Linked DNA regions of Caenorhabditis elegans. The protein of the gene in region 1 interacts with the protein of each later gene in a pairwise test. Each region holds a gene or a part of one and is shown in the gene's direction. Other genes may lie near its edges.

The links. The genes of interacting proteins can lie anywhere in the genome.
Region 2: the proteins of lntl-1 (region 1) and C26C6.8 interact in a two-hybrid assay, tested with the Caenorhabditis elegans proteins (one large-scale study listed by BioGRID).

Annotation. Positions count from the first base shown.
Region 1 is NC_003282.8:5,805,104-5,808,859, reverse strand, and holds the start of lntl-1 (LIN-24 (Twenty-four) Like), read left to right. Parts: upstream 1-1,766; 5' UTR 1,767-1,887; coding exon 1,888-1,894; intron 1,895-2,073; exon of another isoform or gene 2,074-2,095; intron 2,096-2,460; exon of another isoform or gene 2,461-2,481; intron 2,482-2,789; exon of another isoform or gene 2,790-2,810; intron 2,811-2,890; exon of another isoform or gene 2,891-2,911; intron 2,912-3,378; coding exon 3,379-3,479; intron 3,480-3,756.
Region 2 is NC_003279.8:7,504,011-7,507,766, reverse strand, and holds the start of C26C6.8 (SH3 domain-containing protein), read left to right. Parts: upstream 1-2,124; 5' UTR 2,125-2,186; coding exon 2,187-2,229; intron 2,230-2,302; coding exon 2,303-2,394; intron 2,395-2,448; coding exon 2,449-2,601; intron 2,602-2,969; coding exon 2,970-3,083; intron 3,084-3,131; coding exon 3,132-3,352; intron 3,353-3,756. Other genes in the region: C26C6.6 (LIM zinc-binding domain-containing protein), read right to left, coding at 1,121-1,299, 1,459-1,558, 1,619-1,684, 1,730-1,795.

The DNA of each region.
Region 1 (3,756 bases):
AATAAAATGTTTCAGGTTTTTGATAAAATTCAGGATGGTTAGGCCAACTATTTTTTCAGTGTTTAACATGACAGTTTTCAGGTTCTTGATATATGCCAATGTCGCTAATCAAATGATTGTCTATGGATGTTGTCAAATGTCAAAAAAAACTTCAAATGAAACTCCAAAGGTGTTCCTGATGTTGGGTCATTTTTTTGTGAGTCTGAAATATCCTGGCGCCACTGAAACAAAAAATTGGTCGAAAAAATTACCGTTTCACTATTTTCATAAATATGTTTAAATTAATTTGGGCCATAATTTTCACTTTTTTCTAGTAGAAATGTTCTTGATATTTTTGATTGAAACCCTTCCAAGACATGATAGGTCACTTTTCAGTAACCATTTAATGAGCTACACACGTTAAGAAATTTTTTTTGAAGAATACGTTTGAAATGTAAATTAAAAAATGGATAACTTTTCGATGCTTTTAGGCATTATTGAAATAAAACGTTGGTTAAAGTTTTTGACCGTTTTATAAATTTCATGAATACGCTTCATTTTTTCAAAGCTTGAATAATCTTTCCACTATTTTTTCACTCTTTTTTTTTGGTTTTTCGTATTTTTGTTTTAAAATTTTCACATTGTTTTGCAAAGTTATCACATATCATGTTTCAGTTTCTTTATAAATTTCAGGGAGGTTCTGAAGATATTACTTTTAACTTTTTTCAGGATTGCGTGTTCGTTGGTGTCCTTGTCCCATTCCATGTTTCCGTCGTTGTGTTCTGACTCATAAATTTCACGGTTTTTTGGGTGTGTGGTGACAGTAAAAAGTGTGAAGGGATAGATTGTAAAAAAAAATTCCTCGCAAATATAGTTTAGAAGGTTTCAGAAAGTTTTCAAAAAAACACATTCAAAAATTCAAATGTTTCATAAAGTGGTTGAATGAACTTTTAAACTATAAAAATTAAAACTCAAACCTTTCCGGAAAGAGCTTAAAATACATCTTGTTCGCCGTGTTCTCCTAATTTTTTCAGGACTTGTGGGACGTAAGACCTATAATATATGAAAACAAAACGACAATTTATAAAAACCAATTTTTGTAATAATTTTTCATTGATAAATAAAAACAATGTAGTATGTCAAAAATCTTACAATTGAACTAAAGATTACGAAAATCGATTTTTCGGTAAAAAACTTTGGCCAAACTCGAATGAAGGAAATTCCCCAAACTATTATTTGCTTACCAATACATATTTTTAAATATATATTAGAAACGTATTAGAAACATATGAAAAGTGTTTACAAGAAATTATCAAACTTGGCATTTGTTTTAATGGTTTTAGTTTAACATCTGAAACAGCAAAAAAAATTCCGAAAATAGTTCGAATTGTTTTTTTTCCGTTCTCAATCGCTGATGGATTCACTTTAGCTAATATTTCAGAAATTATTTTAAATACAAAACGACTTGTTGTTGAGCATTACTCATTATGATTACAAAAATCGAATTATTTTCTCAAAAATTACTTCAATTATATTCTAATTTTGAAACAGTAAAAAAAAATACGAAAATTATATTCACTTAGCTTTTCGAATATTGGTTAAAGTATGTATTAGTAATTCCTCTTTTTTACTATTAATTTTTTAAAAATACATCTCAATCAATTCTACAGGGAAAATAAAAACATCGCCCCCTCGAGCAGCTTGAATCCCTGGAAAAATGAAAATAAGTAAGAGAAGAAGAGGCAAAGAAGTCATCGACGATTGGCTGGCAGGCATACAAAGTAGGCGGAGTCGTCATGTGAAACCCGGCGGAGGGCTTCGATTCACAGAGACTCCTCCTGTTTGTGTGTCCCCCGATTGCCCGTCTGAATCATCGAATTTTTTTTGGAAATCAATTTCGATAAAAAAATGTTTAGTAAGTTTGTTGATTTTAAATTTAAAATTTTTTTTATGTGAATTAAGCGCACAGTGTCTGCATTCATTGAAATTTTAACCAAAAAATGTTTTATTTGGAGCAGAACTTTTTTTAACGTCTCAACTAACCTAAATATATAATACTCAATTGGTGTAATTTTCTTTTATTCAACTGCAGAAACTTTTTACATCAACTACTCAATATGTTAAATAAAACCTACGAGTTTTTATAAACATCATGAAACAGTGGATAGTGTAATCATGAATCATCATTGGAATTTCAAAAAATTGATTTAAAAAGTGATTTGTGTGTCTCTATTCTCTCTCGGCATGAGCTTATAAATTCAATTGTTTGTGAGAGGGCAAACCGAACCGCGTTGCAATTGTACCGTGCCAAATCCCTCGCAATATTTCTTTGCGTCTCTTCTTTCTTATACTCTCTCTCTCTCTCTGTGTCGTTTTCTATCAGAGTACAGTAATCTGATTTATAAACAACGTTAAACAAAAGTGGAAGTGAAGAGGAAGGTTTTGAAGTTTTCAAAATGTTCTTGAAATTTTTCGGCCAGTCGATCCCACACATCGAGATGATTGAATTAATTTCAAAAAATAAAATGATATTCTATGAATGAAACTGTAATTTTTTTTCGAAAAATTTCACATTATGATGTCTTCTAGGAAAGTTGGAAAATTTCACAACAGTATTGCTGGCTTTAACTTTAAAACAAAAAAAACCGTGAAAAAAACTAAACAAACAGTATAGGTTAAAATGAGCAGAGCTTTTCATAAGAAACGCAAAAATTTTTGCTATGATGAGTGATGAAAGTGAGTTGCTTTTTATAATACATTTTCTACAGTTTCAGAAAAAATTCAATTACCATAACAACAATTTTAAATGTTTGGAAACAAATATTTGAAAAACGTTGAAAAAAGTGAGCGGAATTTAAAAAAATTTCTGTTTCACTGAAATTTTATTTCATTTGCTGAGAAAAATATATATTACCGTACTATTTTCAAAAGCTTTAGTAAGAAATATAAGTTCTCCCTTCTCTCAAATAGGAAACTTTCACTTACTTCTTCTTCTTTACCTGAATACCTGCCTAATTGTAGCCTTCACCTTTCTCTCTCTCTCCAGTCCCAGTTCTAATTATTCCGAAATTCTCTCCTTTTCCATGTTTCACATATACATTTCCGATTTTGTTTCCCACGTTTTCATGTGCCTGAATCCTCTGAACTAGAGATTCTGAGACGCAGAGAAAAATAAACGTGGATTACGGTAGTTGAGGGGAGCCAGAGAAGAGCGGCGACGTTTTTCCGTCTTCTCGTGCATTCTAGTGAAATAGCGCTCAAAAAATTTAGACGCAGAATTGCAACGCGCAATTTACTATTGATTCGGTTGAAAAATGAAGAGAGAAGAGAGACTCAGAATATTTTGAAATATGTTTCTGACTCATCTATTCTGAAAACTTAATGATCAATAAATTCCAGGTTGCATATCTCCACAGAAATCACCGGCTTTTAGTCCAGAACAGGAGAAAATGCTGAAATCGAACAGAGCAAATGAGCCACAAAGCTTTGTGAAAGGAAATGTAAGTATTTGAATTTAATTCTTAATTTGAAAATATATATTAAAAATAGCGAAACCTAAAATTTCTTCACAGTTTCAGCGATTTTTTAAGCTTTCATTAATTCATGCATATATTTTTTTCTTTAAGTGAACGGAAGAATACAGCTTGTGCTGAAAATTTGAACACTTGAAATGTGTTATAAATATTGTATCAACACTATTTAATTAAAGTTTATAACTTTGTGAAGATAGTTTTTATTTTTTACGTATACTTTTGTGGGATTCTGTAAACAAGCGAA
Region 2 (3,756 bases), on another chromosome or scaffold:
TCTATAGTTAACTTCAGTACAAAAATCGTATTTTAAAGTGTAGCTTTATGCTCAAAATATATTAAAGGTGGAGTGTCGCCAGTGTGGAATGTTCGGAATCACTCCTATTTGAAGCAAAGCATGGCAAAAAATTTTAGAATTCTTTTTTATTTACAGTCGATTATAATTGCGGAAGTAGCCCGAAAAAAAAACAAAATTTCCTACGTTTTTGGGTTTAATAATATTTAGTTAATTGTGTTTAAAAATTTCAATGTTGTGTAGTTTAACATTTCCTCACTCAACAGTGTTCAATATTTAAAAAAAATTTTGCAAGGAAAATTGGAAATATGCCAAAACTTCATCTGAAACAAAAGTTAAATGTTTAGTTTCTCTGTAAAAACGTAAAAATGACAAATATTGAAATAGTGAATTGAGACTTGAGAAGACTTTTAGATTTCAAAAAGATTTCAAGACTATTACACAAAAAAAAATCAGACAGAAACAAAAAACAAAAAAAAATTATTAAAAGATTGACACTGACATGTTTAAAAAGTCACAAAACATTTTCGAGTACGTAGTTACTCGAAAAAGAAAACTAAGATCTATATGACGTCATTTTGATCTGACACAGGTGACACATCTCATCCATCCCGTAGCTCTTCTCCCACAGAAACATTTTGTGGTGTGAAGTTACTAGATGCACACTTTACTACTTGAATGGAGGAGGTTAAATGATGAAAGAACAGAAGGATGCTCATTATGATTGTGATGTTTCAAATATTATAATTATTGTTTCACTTTTGCAAGTTCTATAAATTGATTGAAAAATTGACAAAACTCTGGATTCAGAAATTGCATTTTTCAAAATGTGTAAAATTTCAAAAATCGTGTTATAAATTTTAAAAAAGTCCAATGTTTCTGATAAAAAAATGTTTTAATTAGATGAAACACTGAAATTGTTCAGTTTTTGTCAGTGAACAAGAGAAATCACAGAAAAATTGTTCCGAAAGGGACTACTTTACTCCCTATTTGTCTTGAAATCTCTCAAAAATCAGTATCTTAGAAATTATAGTTAACCCACAAAAATACACTTTAAACCGTTCAAAATCTATTCATTATTTTTTCAAATAAGTTCAATATGTTATAGAACATCTTTGATATGAAGCATATAACAAACGTCATCATAAAACATCATATCACGTTCATAAAATCCTTTTCTTTGAGGAATTGTCTTGTTACAGATTGCACAACGGAAACAATCAATATGAAAGAGACGATTAAATGCAACAAGTCCTCGTTCAATTACTGGCAATGAGCATCCTGTAAAATTTGTTTTTTAAGTAATCGTAAGGGGCTCTAATCTTTCCTATATGTAGCTGAGTAATCAAAGTTCGTATAACCCGTGCAAAACCGAATTCACAAGCCATATCATTCAATTTTTAATTTCTACTAATCAGTACTTCGAAGAACTAAAAATACCTGTGCAAGATGGATGATTTGTTTGAATATGACATGCATAACATGATGGTTTCATTGGATCAATTGATGAACGGAAATAACGATTGTCCGAGATTTGAAGCTAAAATTGGATATTTTGAAATTTTGGAAGTGCTTTTTTCCGAACGCTTCCAAAACTAACTTTACAAAAAATGCATTGAATATGATCCCGATGCCACATTCGATTCAGAAAGAAGACAACTTTGTTCTAAAAATTACTTTTTTAAAGGAAATACACCAATTGTGGATTTACCTTTTCGACATCCTCCTCGGCGATTTTGGCTTTACATCCTGCACAATTGATAAACTCAATAGTCATTTTTCTAGTTTATTTGGAAATAAATTATTTTTTATTAAAATTGTATTCTTCGCCTCCGAATTTGTATTTAGTAAGCGGTTGCCACGTAACTGGTATTAAAATTTATTGGTTTTTAATTGAAAACTTCCAAACAAGATACAAAAGTTTATGCATCTCTGCATGGTAATCTCCAAAATACATAAAATATCACAGATTCCTTATTTCTAGGGCAAAATAAGCCATTATACTGAAGCCAAATAATACTGTCCGCCTTTCATGCCTTTCCCTCCCGAGACTCCATCTTTTTTTCCAATCAGATCCAATTTTCGGTGAACAAACAATAATTTGACATGCCTCTGTTGATTAACCGTGTTTTGTGAGCAATTCATTGGCTTTTCGTCGCACAAAAACAATGGGCATTAGGAGCATTTTTTGGAAAGTTGTATCTGGAAGAGGTGAGCACAGTTTGTCCCATTTTTTTTCTAATTTTAGCTGATTAAAAATAAAACCTCCAAAAATGAATTTCAGTGCCCGATAATGGTGGATGGGTTGACAGTATGCAAGTGGATCATTTTGATCCTTATACTCCAGGACAACTAACAAAAAACTTCACAGCAACTGTATAGTTTTCAGTTTTTCCAAATTACCCCAATTTCTAACCTCTCACTTTTAAGGTTGCTGACGAAATTAGTGTAACCCGTGGCACTACAGTTAAAGCAATTTATCGAGATGATCAATGGATTTATGTTGAGGTATCTGATGGAAGAAAAGGATTTGTTCCACAGACATATTGTAAATTGCTTTTGAATTCAAAACACGGTGAAAAGGTGAGCGTTTTAGATGTTCTAGAAAAGTTATTTTTAGTGCAAATCTTAAAGAATGCAACAACACGTGTAATTGTGGCATTTAATGATATTCATTTAAAACTACTGTATCCGGTCTCGACACGACCGAAATATGCGCAAAAGAATGTGCGCCTTGCGAATTACTGTAACCACACTCCTAATTATTTCCAATATTTCATAGATATTTCATAGTTTTGTCATTGAAAAATCGAAGAAAAGTGGTGAAAATCATTGTCACCTTTAGTGAGAACAACTTAGAAGCCACGTGATGTCAGAGAGTCCCATTTCGGTTTGATCTCCAAGAATTTCGGGAATGGAACCGTTGAGAAATCAAATCAAATACTTTTCAGAAAAAGGTGATCGGATCCAGCGCGACACTTGATCGCCGTTGGGAAAAATCAAATTTGCAGAGATTTATCGACAGTCTTCCTGTTCAAAAAGAAGAAGGAGAGGTTTTTAAAATGGTTTGTTTTGAATAAAGCTATTGAATATTCTTTTGATACTATCTGCAGGATGAGATATGCGAAGTTCAAATACTACAGTCATTTGATGGATCAGCTCCAGATGATATATCTGTGAAAGATGGAGAATCTGTCACAGTTTTGAATATATCAGATCCTGAGTGGACCTATATTCGAAATTCGGACAATCAATCTGGTTTTGTACCTTCTTCCCATGTTAAGATTCCACATGAAATATTGCAACAAGCTAGCCGTGTCATTAAAGAAAAATGGTATCGTAAGTTCGCAGTTTTCTGAAACGCTTAAAGGTGTACGGACTTATTCAGATGGGTCATGGGTGTTATTCTGTTTTTTTTTTCAGAATTAAAAGACTCAGAAGACGCGAAAATTTGTTATTTTTGCGCCAAAAATACAGTACCCGGTCTCGACACGATAACAATTTTGTTAAGTGTGAAAACGTGTGCGCCTTTAAAGACTACTGTAATGTAAATACAACTTTTCGTGCTCATAGTTTTTCTCACGATTAGTAAAATAAAATATATGTGTTTTGTGGTTTTTTAAAATAAATAAATACATTTTTTAACGGAGAATTATGAAAAATCTATGCAAATTCCTCAACAACGAAAGTTTGAAGCTACAGTACCCTTTAAAGGCGCACATCCGTTTACATTTGATA